2 linked regions of the Diceros bicornis minor genome follow. The protein of the gene in region 1 interacts with the protein of each later gene in a pairwise test. Links are inferred from orthologs where the notes say so. Each region holds a gene or a part of one and is shown on either strand. Other genes may lie near its edges.

Region 1 (6,958 bases):
AGGGTCCCACAGGCTCCACATGGTCTCACTCTCAGCACCTACTCCCTGGGAACCTCCAAGCACCCCTGCCAAGACCCCCTCGCTCCCCTGGACCCTAGAGAGGATGTCATGCAACTCCACACTCTGCCCCCGTGGTCTGGGGGCGTTGACCTTGCTTCCAGCTCCAGAGGCAGCCACTTGACCCAGGTGAGGCCAATCAGAGATTTCCGTTCACCTGGCAACTGTGATTGGCTCTGGGGTGGGCGTATGACTCAAACTGGCCAATCAGAGGCTGCCCTGGGATGTTTTCTGCAAAACTGAGGTGGAAGGACCTGCTTTCTTCTGAATGCAGAGCTGACAGGAGGAAAGCTGGGGTGCTGGGGCCCCCCTTCACTACCTCAAGAGGACAGGCTGCCTAAGGCTGAAGCCTCTCCCTGGGAGGAGCTGAGCGACAGAGGGAAATTTCACAGCACGTCCTCAGAGACCCCGGTTCCAGCCGTACCTGACGTTAGCCAGACCTGCCCCTGGACTTTTTGCTCATGTGATCCAACCCATTCTGTCCCTCTTGAACGAGGCTTCTGTCCCTTGTGATAAAATAATCTCTACTCACAGTCACTCATCCCACAAGTTCCCTTCAAAGGCACGAACCATGTGTCAAACATCCAGCTGAGGAGAAACCGTATTTAGTAGCTCCTACTATGAAAAGAAGAACTAACGTTACTTGAGTACTTGCAAAACGACAGGCCCTGTGCTGAGCCCTTCACCTGCTTTATCTCATCTCATCTTCCCGACAACCCAGGGTTTGAATCCTATCTCTGTTATCCTGGCTGTGTGGCCATGAACAAGTGTCTCAACCTCTCTGAACCTCGGTTTCTTCATCTGTAAAATGGGAATAATTGCAGCACCCACCTCATAGGAATGCAGCAGGGGCATCCCTACTATTTTTTCTCTGCCTGCCCCATGGCCCAGGCATACCTTCAGCTCAGGCATGCTGCCGATGAGCTCGTAGGGCACCTTCACATTGGGGCAGCTGGTATAGTCCAGAGGGACAAGCTGGGGGGCCAGGTCCTGGTAGCGATAGAAGAGCCTGGTATAGGGAGGGAAATGCAGGAAGAGCTGGGAGACGGGAGCGGGGGACTTGTCCCTCCTCTCTCACTCTCGCAGCAGCTCACTCTATACTGAAGGATGCTGGGTCCCCAAGGGCCATCAGCCCTGGGCCCAGCTTTCAAAGGCACAGACCCAGACACAGGCACTTCTACCCCCCTAGGGACAGGGTCAAGGTGGAGAGAGGGACCCAGAGCTAGGGGAGACTAGATTAGGGAAAGCAAGCCAGGGAGGAGGAAGGACTTCCTGAAGGAAGGGGCATTAATGCTGGGCTTTGAAGCCTGGGTAGGAGCTTACCAGGCAGATGGGGATGACAGAAGGGAGGGTGCTTAAGGCGAGGTCATTTCACATGGAGCATTCAGAGAATCTGAGCTGATCTATGAATCTCTGGACATCATCACATTGTCAGCAAGACCCTGCTTCTAAAGACACCCATCTTCACACTTCCCTTCTCTCCCTCCATAGTGGGAGGCAGGGTTTCCTCAATGGGCAGAGCAGAGACAAAGGCTAATATTCAGGGATTTTTTAAGGGCAAACGAAAGACATTTTGCAAAACACCAAATACCACCTACACTACCTAGATTGTGAGGCCAGCTCTCCACTGTAATGCCCTCACCTGGTGACATCCTATCTTCACTGGGGGCACGCGGAGCAGCAGCCTTATAGAGATCATCTTGAGAAATCAGAGGTCCCCAAGCTGCTAGGGACCATCTCTGAAGGAGTCGGGCGTCCCTGGGTCATTTGATGGCGAGGAACTTGAGGAGAGGTGTCAGGAGTTTCAGTCCTGCTCACCCAGTCCCTGTCAGCATCTCCTCAGGGCCCAGCCTGGGCTTGGGTTTCTGCGTGGCCTTGAACATGTCCCTCGTCCCCTCCGAGCCTCAATTAGTTGACCTGACCAGTAAGAAGCTTGGGACAGATGAAATGTCAGCCCTGAAACTTCTTGGGGCTCTGCCGGCCTGCAGAGCCGGAAGCAGCCGCCCCTGTCCAAGCCTCAGTTTCCCCATCAGTAATCCGATCGTGAGGGCCAGGCTGACCCTGTGAGCTGTCCTCCCCACACAATGGGGCTCACTGCTAAGAGCTGTGCCCATCAATAATGGATGTCCCATGCCCACACAACTGGGGCCTTGGCCCCGATCACTCTGCAGCCGAACCCTGCCAGCTTGGGTTTCACGGCTCCAAGTTCATGGGTCGGGGCCTCCGGACAATGGCTCCATGGGCCGAGCGATGACGTGGGACACCCACCTATGCCTGTCTCACTCACGCCAGGGACTGCAGCAGCTTCAGGCCGCCTCCCGGCGCCCTCACCTGATGCCGACCCCACAGCCCAGAGCTGGCTCCCGGCCCTGCCCCGGGCTCCCAGCCTCCAGTTCCCACCTCTTCACACTGGCCTCAGGGGCACCTTTCTAACACGCTGACCTGTCTCTGCCCAGCTCTCACACTCTCCGTGGCTCCCCGCCACCCCAGGGAAAGCCCAAGCCCAGCCTGGGGGTGCGGCAATATGGTGAGAGGGACGACTCAGCCTCCCCGGCGCTGCCTCCGTCCGCTGACCCGGCCTGCAATCCCCCAGTACTGCTGTAACCGCTGTGAGGTGCCGGGCCCCGTCAAACTGCAAATCCGCTAGTGTGGAAAGTTGTTTCCAGACCTTCTTCCCTCCCCTCCAGACTGACCTCATGACCTCCTTCCTTGTGAAGAAAGTGCAGTCCTGCGGAGAGAGACGCTGGCTTGGCCCGGCCCTGCCTCGGGGGCCTCCGTCCTCTCCCTCAGCCCCACGCCCGCCTCCGCCTGACGCCACACTCAGAGCTGCGCAGGGAACCGTCCTGACTGCACGCCCGGAGGAAGGGATGCTGTCCCCATTTCTCAGGCCAGGAAACCGAGGCTGCCAAACCCACAAGAGCCCGGCTCCTCACCCCTACCTGATATGCTTCCAGCTGCTCTTGAGTGAAAACTGTCTGCTTGTTGCCCATGTGGGGACCACCGCCAGCCCTGGAACACGCTTTGGAAGCCCCCAGTCGCATCAGGGCCACACGGGTTGCCAGGCTGCCACGCACCAGTGTCTGGGCAAACCTCTCTGCCCTGGCTGTCACCCGCCCACCCACCTGGTCACCCCCAGCCTAGGCGAGATTCAAGTTACAGCCGAGCTCTCTGAGCAACAGCCCGAGTATGTCCACAGCCACCAGGGCACAAAGGACCGCAGGAGGTCACAGGGCAGCCCTCAGTGGGGAGACCACATCTGCCACTAAGATAGGGGCCGGGGGTGTGGCGCTGGGGATGTGAGGTGCCTTCCAGAGATGGGCAGGATGGTGGAGAGGCTGCAAGCATGTCCCAGCTCAAATTCCAGTTCTCTACCCACAGGCTGTGTGGCCTTAGCTGTGTGGCCAAGTCATCTGACCTCTCTGAGCCTCATTTGTGAGACAGAAATTGTATTAGTACCTATCTCATAGAGTTGTTCTCAAGATCTAAAGAGATAATTAATACAATTAAAAAAAAACTGGCCATTGGCTATAAGCCCATTCTAGGCTGTGGGAGCATAATAAGGAACAAGCTAGATGAGGTGTGCGTTGGAGATGAGGAGGAGGAGGAGGAGGATGTTACGGCTGGAGAAAAGAGAGCCATGGGCTTAGTTTGAGAAACAGTGGGTTGAATAACACCAGAGTTCTTTATTGCAGGACTTGTCAGAGCCTTTAACATGCTAGTGTGCACCATGCATCCTCAAGGCATAGATACAACATAGCAAGTGGCAACCTTATTGAGACCCAGAATCCTCTTGGGTAGAACATCTTGGTTTCAAAAACCCTGAGCCTGGCGTTCCATGCCCTTCTTTTTTTTTGGGGGGGGGGGGGTAGGGAGGAAGATCAGCCCTGAGCTAACATCTGCCAATCCTCCTCTTTTTGTTGAGGAAGACTGGCCCTGGGCTGACATCCACGCCCATCTTCCTCTAATTTATATGGGACTCCATCACAGCATGGCTTGACAAGCGGTGCGTCGGTGCGCGCCCAGAATCCGAACTCTGGGCCACCGCAGCAGAGTGCACGCACTTAACTGCTGTGCCACCAGGCCGGCCCACCATGCCCTTCTTGTTCCAAGTCTCACCTCTTTCCACTTTCCTCTCCTGCTCAGACTTTCCCAGCCCCACACTCCAAACTCCTTGAACTACGCTTCTGTCTTCCCCTTTCCCTTCTCCCTCTCCCTGGCCTGGACCATCACAGTTCCTCTCAGCAGGCTCCTCTGGACTCTGCCTCAGCTGCCATCCTCTGCCCAAGTGTGTGAAGCCATCTGTAAAATGTGACTATGATCAGGCTTTAAAGGGTTCCTGAGGATGATTTCTTTAAGAACTGACGATACAGAGTGTTGGCGAAGACGTGGACCAACTGGAACTGTTCCTATTGCTGGTGGTGTTGCAGAATGGCACAGCCGCTCTGGAAAACGGGTTGGCAGTTTCTTTTAAAGTTAAACATACATGACTCAGCAGTCCCACTCCTGCATATTTACCCCAGGGAAATGAAAACCTATGTGCACCCAAACCCTGTACATGCCCACAGAATGGATTTCTGATAAGATGCTAGTCTCCAGAATCTATAAAGAACTCTTACAAGTCTACAATAAAAAGATAAATAATCCAAGTAAAAAATGGGTGAAGCTTAAGGGAGAGTGGGATGCATCGTTGGAGCAACGAGGATGTCTAGGGCAGTGAAACTACTCTGTATGAGACTATAATGATGGGTATATGCCATTATACATTTGTCAAACCCACAGAATGTACAACACCAAGACTAAAGAGTAATGTAAACTGTGGACTTGGGATGATGATGCTGTGTCAGCATAGGTTCATCAGCTATAATGAATGCACCGCTCTGTGGGGGATGTTGATAAGGGGAGAGGCTGTGCATGTGTGGCGGCAGGGGAATAGATGGGAAATCTCTGTACCTTCCTCGATTTTGCTGTGAACCTAAAACTGCTCAAAAAATAAAGTCTATTAAAACAAAACAACGCAGGTAAAGGATTTGAGTAGACATGTCTCCAAGAAGATATACAAATGGCCAATAAGCACATGAAAAGATGCTCAACATCATTAGTCATTAGGGAAATGCAAATCAAAACCGCAATAAGATACCACCTCACACCCACTAGGGTAGCTATAATAAAAAGAAAAAATAACAAATGTTGATGAGGATGTGGAGAAATTAGAATCCTCATACGTTACTTGTGGGAATGAAAAATGGTGCAGCTCTTTGGAAAACAATTTGGCAGTTCTTTAAAAAGCTAAACATAGCGTTACCACATGACTCAGTAATTTTCACGCCTATGTATATACCCAAGAGAATTGAAAATATATGTCCACATTAAAACTTATGCATAAATGTTCATAGTAGCATTATCCATAATAGCCAAAAAGTAGAAATAACCCAAATATCCATCAGTGGATGAATGGATAATGAAATTGTAGTATGTTAATATAATGGAATATTACTCAACCATAAAAAGCAATGAAGCTCTGACACATGCCACAATATGGATGAACCTTGAAAACATCATGCTGAGTGAAAGAAGCCAAACACAAAAGACCACATATTGTATGATTCCATTTATATGAAGTGTCCAGCATAGGCAAATCCAGAGAGACAGAAAGCAGGGGAGAGGGGGAGGGGGAGCGGCTGCTGCCGAGGAGGGGGTTTCTTTGGGGTGATGGAATGTTGTGGAACGAGATAGTGGTGATGGTTGCACAATTCTGTGAATGTACTAGATGCCACTGAATCATGCACTTTAAAGGGTGAGTTTTATAGTACGAGAACTATATCTCAACTTTTTAACAAAAAATTGTACATGAACATTTATAGCAGATTTATTCATAATCACCAAAAACTGGAAACAACCGAAATGTGCTTCACCTGGGGAATGGATAAACATACCATGGTCTGTCCATACAACAGAATACCACATAGCCATAAAAAGGAATGAGGGGGCCGGCCCCGTGGCTTAGTGGTTAAGTGCGCACGCTCTGCTACTGGCCGCCCAGGTTCAGATCCCAGGCGCGTAGCGACGCACCGCTTCTCCAGCCATGCTGAGGCGGCGTCCCACATACAGCAACTAGAAGGATGTGCAGCTATGACACACAACTATCTACTGGGGCTTTGGGGAAAAAAGGAGGAGGATTGGCAATAGATGTTAGCTCAGAGCTGGTCTTCCTCAGCAAAAAGAGGAGGATTAGCATGGATGTTAGCTCAGGGCTGATCTTCTTCACACACGCACACACAAAAATGGAATGAGCTATTGATATCCCACCGTGAATGAATCTCGAATCCACTGTGCTGAGTAAGAGAAGCCAGACCCAAGAGGCCACCTTCTGGATGATTCTCAAAAAGGTGAAACTATAAGAAGAGAAAACAGATCAAGTGTTGCCAGGGGCTGGGAGTGGGGTAACAAGGGAATTTGGGGGTGATGATAGAACTGTTCTATATGTTGACTGTCAGGTTGGTTACATGGCTGTATTCATTTGTCAAAAGTCGTAATACTGTGCACCAAAAAGGACTAATTTTATTGCACATAAATACATATTTTAAATGAAGGCAACAATGAAACTAATTAAAAAGAACTCCTTGCTCTCCATTGCCTCACGGTTGAAGTCCAGGTTCCTGTGCCCGACCCCATCAGACACTTCGTGATTTCATGGTGTCTCTCTCCATCAACAATTAATTTTGCAGCCCTACTGTGTGCCAGGCACCAGCCCAGGTCCTGGATACATAAGTGAACAAAACCAAGTCCCTGTTCTCATGGAGCTCACACTCCAGTGCACAAGCAACCATATAAATACATAATTAGTCAGGAGTGCTAAGTTCTAGGAAGAAACATAAAACAGGGCAGGGATAGAGAGAGATGA
Region 2 (7,525 bases), on another chromosome or scaffold:
GAGAAGGTGACATTTGAGTAAAGACCTGAAGGAGGTAAGTGGGCCCTGTGACTCTGTGGGGTGACGAGCCAGGCAGAAGGAACAGCCAGTGCAAAGGCCCTGAGATCACAGCCTGGGTGGAGTGTTTGAGGGACTATGAGAAGGCCTGTGTGTCTGGATGAGAGTGAGCAAAGAGGAGAGAACTAGGAGATGAGGTGAAAGAGTTGAGGGGGCCAAATCATGCAGGGTCTTGTGGAGTCCCTTTACACTGAGTGAGATAGAAGCCATGGGAGGACGTTGAGCAGAGGGACGAGACCTGATTCACTTTTAAACAGACCCTCTTAGACTGCCCTAAAGATGACCAAGGGAAGAGGGATCGTGTAGCTTGTTGCTACCACAGCAAGACCAGCATGAGGAGCACCCCACTTTCCCCATGAACAAACTGAGGCTCAGAGGGGCCCCGCTCCTGCCCTGTTGAAGAACTGGCGAGAGAAGTGGAAAGGCTGGCCAGGCAGAGGGAACCGGGTCCCTAAGGGCAGAGTCCACGTTCCCCAACCTGCCCTCCCCCGCGGGCCCGCCGTGGGGGATGGGCCGCGGCCACCTCGGGGCGTGGCCGGGAGGCTGGTCCCTCCCACCTGCCCACCCTCCCCCTGAGCTGGCCGCCGGCTGGACACCCGGGAGCCGGCCCGGCGCCTCGTCCCTCCCCAGAGGCCGGGTGGGGCGGCCGGCCGGGGGCGGGGCGCTCGCCCTGACCCCACTCCCTCCCTAGCTGGCGGAGGCTCCTCCCCAGCCCTGCTAGGCCCCCGTGGCTTCACTTCTGGTTTCATTTCCCAAGGCCCGGCCTCTCTCCTCCTCCCTTCCCCCAGCCCTTTGAATTCTGGCTCCTCCTCCGCTTTCTGCTCCCAGCTCCAATGCCACCTCCTCGGGGAGGCTCTCCCAGACCACCCTGGCTCCAGGCACCTCTCGCCAGTCCTCTCTATTATCCCGTCCTATTGTATTTTCTTCAAGTCACTAAACAGAAGCAGAAATGCTCTTCCTCATTTATTCATCTTCCGGGGTCTTCTCATCCCATTCAGAATGAAAAACAACGGTCCATAGAGCGCTCGAAGGACCTGAACACAAGCACACGCCCACCTCAGGACCTTTGCACAGCCCATCCCTCTGGCTGGAACACTCTTCCTCTAGAGCTTTCCCACGTCTCTCGTTTCATCGGGTCTCTACTCAATGTCACCTCTTCAGCGAACCCTCCACCACCACCAGCACCCTGTCTGAACTGCACACCCGGGGCTGGCGCAGTGGCGCAGCTGTTGAGTTCACTCCTTCCACTTCAGTGGCCTGGGGTTCGCTGGTTGGTATCCTGAGCACGAACCTACTCACCGGTCATCAAGCCATGCTGAGGCAGAGTCCCACATAGAAGAGCTACAACTCTACAACGATGATGTAGGACTAATGTACTGGGGCTTTGGGGAGACAAAAAAAAAAGAGAGGAAGATTGGCAACAGATGTTAGCGCCCGGCCAATCTTAAAAAAAAAAAAAAGATTATTATTTAAACTGCACACCCTTTCATTACCCTCCTCCCGCTCTGCTTTATTCTTTTCCTTTGCACTTGTCACCTTCTAAGATACTAAAATTTCTTTGTTAAGTTTATCGTGCACCTCCTCACATCGGGGAGTTTTGTGTATAATTTTACTGGCATATCTTCAGTGCCTAGAACAGTGTGTGACACAGAACAGGCTCAATCCATCAATGTTTGCGAATCAATGAATGCATTTGTTTTCATCTTTTTTTCTCTCTCCACCCCCTCCCCTGATCTGTGAGAAGAGAGCCCAGGTGAGGCTTATCCAGGGCTGTACCCTCATTATGTACAACAGTGCTCACCACATAGTGTGTACTCAATAAATACACATTATTTGAGTGACTTCTATGAGCTCTTCTTTAGTGTATGACTTGGAGAGAGCCACTTGGAGACTCTGAACTTCCTTTCTCCCAGGCCAAAACGACAAGTTGTGGGGAAATTATGTGAATTTACCTAGTGGGGGCCTGGTTCTAATGAGCACTTCACTCTCTTTTTAGTATGAAAATTTTCAAGCACAGAGAAAAGATGAAAAAAAGTATGTATTCTGAGCACTTGAATACCTTCCCACCTAGATTTAATTATTAACATTTTAAGTTTCCTTTATCTGCATATTTGTATATGTATATTTTTTCTTTTGCTGAACCATTGGAGAGTAAATTGCAGACTTCTCAACCCTACCCCTAGAATGGTAGGCATCTCTTAAGATTAAGGACTCTCACCATAATATTAAGGATACTCACCTACAAACCACAATGCTATTTCACATCTAAGAGAATTAAGAATTCCTTAATATCATCTAATATCCAATCTATATTCAAATTTCCCCAATTTTTCCAAGAATATCTTTTTTTTTTTTCTGGTGAGGAAGATTGGCCCTGATCTAACATCTGTTGCCAATCTTCCTCTTTTTGCTTGAGGAAGATTATTGCTGAGCTAACATCTGTGCCAATCTTCCTCTATTTTGCATGTGGGACACAACCACAGCATGGCTTGATGAGCAGTGTGTAAGTCTATGCCCAGGGTCCAAACCCGTGAACTCCAGGCCACTGAAGCAAAGCGTGAAAACTTAAGCAATAGCCAACAGGCCAGATCCAAGAATATCTTTTATAGCTGTTTTTCTTCCCCCCAAATCAGGATCCAGTGAAGGTTTATAAGCACATGTGGTTGTAATAAAGAAATTACATAGTATCTTTTTTGTGTGTGTGTGAGGAAGATCAGCCCTGAGCTAACATCAAATGCCAATTCTCCTCTTTTTTTTTTTTTTTTGCTGAGGAAGATTGGCCCTGGGCTAACATCCATGCCCATCTTCCTCCACTTTATATGGGACGCCGCCACAGCACAGCTTGACAAGCAGTGCGTCGGTTTGCGCAAGGGATAGAGCCAGCGAACCCCGGGCCAGGGAAGCGGAGCTTGCACACTTTAACCGCTGCGCCACCTGGCCAGCCCTATATAGTATCTTTTATTCTGGAACATCCGCCCCCCCAACCCAAGCCCCACCAATCCCTTTTTGTGTTTTCTTGAAATTGAATTTTTGGGGCAACAGCCCAGTTGTGCTGTATATATTCCCACATCTGTATTTGTCTGATTCAGTTCGTGTTTGTTACTTTCTGTTTCCTCTAAGTTGGAGGTTGGGTCTAGAGGCTTGATGAGATTCAGCTTATGCAAATAACAGAGAGACTCCATAAAGAATGTTGTGTACTTCCTAATGCATCATATCAGGGGACACCCAGTGTCCGGGTGTCCCACTATTGTGGATGCAGAGTTTCATTATGTGGTTAAGGTGGTGAGTGCCACATCTCCACATCAGAAGAGGATATTTCCCCCTTTACAGTTAGCAAGAAACCTGTGGGGTGATGCTCTGGAGCCTGTCAAGATCCTGTTCCCCACTATCTTTCACAGTTAAGTTTTGAGCATCCATTGATAATCGTGGCCTGAATCAACTAGTAGAGGTAGCATTTTTGAGAGCTTACTTGAGCCAAGAGCTTTATTCACAACAGTTCTTCCCACAGCTCCAGAAGAGTTAGAAAATGAGCCACTTGAAGAAGGTGAGTCCCATTGTCAGTTTATCGGACAAGTATTAAACTCCCGTCTCCCCGTACCCCGCCCCGCGTGTCCCCCCTTGAGCTAAGCGCCTGTGCAATTACCACAACAGCTATTACTACTTACAAAAGAACACGTTGCATACCCCTCTGAGCATTTTGCACGAATTGTTCTATTTAATCCTCAGAACAACCCTCTGAGCCAGAAACTATTTCTCTCATTTTAAAGGCGAAGAAACTGAGAGCCTAAGGGATTAAAACACTTGCCCAAGGTCACACAGCTACTTAGGGAATGGAGCCCAGGAAGTGACTCCCGTGGCATCCCACCCCCAGCCCCGTACCTGTCTATAGCCACACCTGAATCCAACTGCCCAGCATTTGCTGAGTCTGATATAGTGCTCTTACAGACACGATCTTACTTTAATTTTCCTCACTCTCAAGAGGTAGGCAAGAAGATTCCATGTAACTGAATTTCCGTGGCTCAGAGAGGTCAAGCATTTTTCCAAGGTCACACATCCAGTGTGAATTAGAATTTGAACGAGTTAGAATTTGAACCCAGGCCTATCTGGTCTAGAGTGTAGACCCCTGTTGGGCTTGGTGCGTAAGAAGCTCAATTGCTGAGCTCGGCAGGTGCATGGGTAGACGAGAGAGGCCCGCACCTGGAGAGGCAAAAACCCTTCCTCGCCACTGTCGCGCAGGGAAGATACCCACACCGTCTTCCCACCTCCGCTCACGCAGCCGCCCGCGCATGCGCCCTCAAGCCAACCGCCCTCCCTTCGAACCTGCCCCCCTACAGGCTCCGCCCATCACCGTCCAGGGCCAATCCCTGGTGGAGGGCGGGGCCGCCACGGGAGTGGGCGGCCGCTAAGGGGAGTCAGGAGCCCGGAGTCGTGCGGCGGAGTCAGAACTGCGTCTCGCGACCCAGCCGCCGGTTGCTGAAGGCGAGCGAGCGAGCGATGCTGTCGCCGCCGCTTCCTGATTGGCTGCGGGTGGCTCCCTCTTCGTTCTGATTGGCAGCTGGTGAACTGGGTATGTAAATGAAGGAAAGGGGCCTGGGGAGAGGGTTACCGGCGGCGGGGTCCCCTTGGCAAGTTCGAGCCCCCGGTCCGGCAGGTGCGCGCCGGAGCTGTCCGGCGTTGAGACGCGCGGGCCTCTACGTGCCGCCCGCTCCGGCCGGGCCGGGTGAATCACGCCGCAGCCGGGGAAGGGGGCGGAGGCGCCGGCTCCCTGGCTCCGGCTGCGTGACTCACCCGCCCCCGCCGCCGCCGCTTCGGGAGGAGCTGCCTCCACTGCCTTCCGGAAGCGAGCGGAGGCCGAGAGGGCAGAACAGCCCACCGGGGATCCCGGCCCGCACGGCCCCGGGCGGCAGGCACCACAGCCAGGACGCGGGGCAGTGTCTAGGGTCCCGGGGTCTGAGGGGCCGGAATCCCCGGGGGAAGGCCGGCATGGCGCCGCTAGGGGGCGCCGGGCCCGGGGGGCGGAGTCGGGGGTGGGGGCTGAATTCCTGCGGTTCGGGACTCCCGGGTCTGCGGGCAAGGAGGCCAGGACCCAGTGTGAATCGTGTGAGGGGTCACTCTTAAGGTCCTGCTGGGCAAGGGCCCCGGGGGACTGGACCCTACAGGCTGCATGGCTCAAAAAAGCAGGCTGGACCAGGGGTCCAGAACTCCAGGGGCCTCCACCGCGGGGAAAGTGTGGGTCCTCAAACTTCTCTCCGTGATCCCCGGGCCCACCAGGATTTTCCGGCCAGCTCTGTCCACTCTGCCTGCCAAATAAATCCTGAGTCGACCAACTTCCTTCCGTGTCCACCACCACTCTCCACTCCAAACCAGCATCATCTCCCCCCACCCCCCCAAGAGTTGTGTAGCCTCCAAAATGATCTCGGGGCCACCCCCCCACCCCACCCCACCCCCGCTCCCAATCTTCCTCGAAGCAGCCAAGAGGATCTTCCGGAAACCTAATCGGTTCACAACACCACTCTCCTCCCTACTCAGAATCCTTCAATGACTTCCCACCAGACTCACAATAAAATCCAAACGCCTTGTTCCTGTCTACTCTCAAGCCCCCCCCACCCCCACCCCCCACACACTATGTCACTCTGTGCACCAACCACACTGGTCTTTTTTCAGTTCAAGCTCATCCGGCCTCTGGGGCTTTCTCTGCCTTTGCTGTTGTCCTCTCTTCCCTGAATGCTTTCCGCCTGGTTCTTCCATAGCTGACTCCTTACACTCGAGGGCTCAGCTCAAATGTCACCTCCTCAGAGGAGCACTCCCTGACCACCCCCAGAACCTTTTAGTATCTTCCTAGCACCATCTGTACATTTCCTGTATTTGTTTATTTGTTTGTCTGATGCATAGTGGACACTCAATAAATATTAAACTATGTGAAACAGGCACTTTTGTAGGTAAAAAAGAAAGGTTGAATATTGGACATTTCACACAGTTCATTGGAGAAATAAATAATAATAGTTATTATTAAGACTGCTTATTAATAGGAGTAATTACTCTGTACCAGGCACTGTTGTAGGTGCCTTTTGTGTATTTACTCTTTAAAACAACTCTGTGAAGTAGATACTATTATCACTCATATCTTAAAGGTTCAGGCTTTAAGAAAGCATGCCTAGGCTCAGAGAGGTTAAGTGATTTGTCCAAGATGACACAGACAGCAGTCTTCAGAGACAGGGTTTGAACTCAACGTTGGGTTTCCATAACAGAATGACTCCTCTGTCCCCGCAGATGATGCTGAGCAAGGGCCTGAAACGCAAACGGGAGGAGGAGGAGGAGGAGAAGGAAGCCCTGGCAGTGGACGCCTGGTGGCTGGATCCCAGCCACCCAGCAGTGGCCCAGGCACCCCCGGCCGTGGCCTCTAGTTCCCTCTTTGACCTTTCGGTGCTGAAGCTCCGCCACAGCCTGCGGCAGAGCGAGCCGGACCTGCGGCACCTGGTGCTGGTCGTGAACACGCTGCGGCGCATCCAGGCGTCCATGGCACCCACAGCCGCCCTGCCACCTGTGCCCAGCCCCCCCGCAGCCCCCGGCGTGGCTGACCCCCTGCTGGCCAGCTCAGACGCTGCCCTCTCAGCCTCCATGGCCAGCCTCCTAGAGGACCTCAGCCATATCGAGGGCCTGAGCCAGGCCCCCCAGCCCCTGGCGGACGAGGGGCCACCGGGCCGCCCCACTGGGGGAGCCCCACCTGGCCTGGGGGCCTTGGACCTGCTGGGCCCAGCCACTGGCTGTCTGCTGGACGATGGGCTCGAGGGCCTGTTTGAGGACATCGATACCTCCATGTACGACAGCGAACTCTGGGCGCCAACCTCTGAGGGCCTTAAACCTGGCCCTGAGGGTGGGCCGGGCAAGGAGGAAGCTCCAGAGCTGGACGAGGCTGAGCTGGACTACCTCATGGACGTGCTGGTGGGCACACAGGCGCTGGAACGGCCACCGGGGCCGGGGCGCTGACCCCCAGGGCTGGAATGGTTGTCTGGTGTCCAAATTGAGCCTGGTGGCTGGACCTACTCTCCATGGAAAGACACAGCTGGCTCCCTTAGAACAGAGAGGGGCTTTGGAGAGAGAGAATCTAGTCCTGGGTAGCTTCACCTCCGTCCTCTTGTTTTGGGCTGATGGAGGGAGCCTGGGAATGGCCCTCATGCTAGAATGACAGGGCCTGGCGGCTGGACTGTGATTGGACCAGGCCCCGTACTGGACTGAATCCCCAGAGGTCATAGCCTGGAATACTCCTTCCCTGATGTGGGAAGGGACCCCAACCAGTTTTTTTGAAATTAAAACCAGTCCTGGGAAGTCTGTAGTCTGTGTGTGCTGCTTTGTCTCTGGGCCAAGGCCAGCGTGAGATATTAATCTCTAACATCTATTGAGCGTGGATTGCGCACCCGGCACGGTTCTGAGCCCTTGACATGTGTTAGCTCATTTAATCCTCGTATCG

Evidence for each region. The genes of interacting proteins can lie anywhere in the genome.
Region 2: the proteins of CIB3 (region 1) and SERTAD1 interact in binary tests that used the Homo sapiens proteins (3 or more experiments, as listed by UniProt). The two-hybrid records come from large-scale screens. The link is inferred for Diceros bicornis minor from reciprocal best matches to the Homo sapiens genes CIB3 and SERTAD1.

Annotation. Positions count from the first base shown.
Region 1 is NC_080759.1:4,391,002-4,397,959, forward strand, and holds the start of CIB3 (calcium and integrin-binding family member 3), read right to left. Parts: upstream 3,048-6,958; coding exon 2,997-3,047; intron 2,786-2,996; coding exon 2,751-2,785; intron 1,067-2,750; coding exon 955-1,066; intron 1-954. UniProt on the Homo sapiens protein: Acts a an auxiliary subunit of the sensory mechanoelectrical transduction (MET) channel in hair cells. Plays a role in regulating hair cell MET channel localization and function.
Region 2 is NC_080773.1:13,999,874-14,007,398, reverse strand, and holds SERTAD1 (SERTA domain-containing protein 1), read left to right. Parts: upstream 1-4,516; 5' UTR 4,517-4,624; intron 4,625-6,327; coding exon 6,328-7,044; 3' UTR 7,045-7,383; downstream 7,384-7,525. UniProt on the Homo sapiens protein: Acts at E2F-responsive promoters as coregulator to integrate signals provided by PHD- and/or bromodomain-containing transcription factors. Stimulates E2F1/TFDP1 transcriptional activity.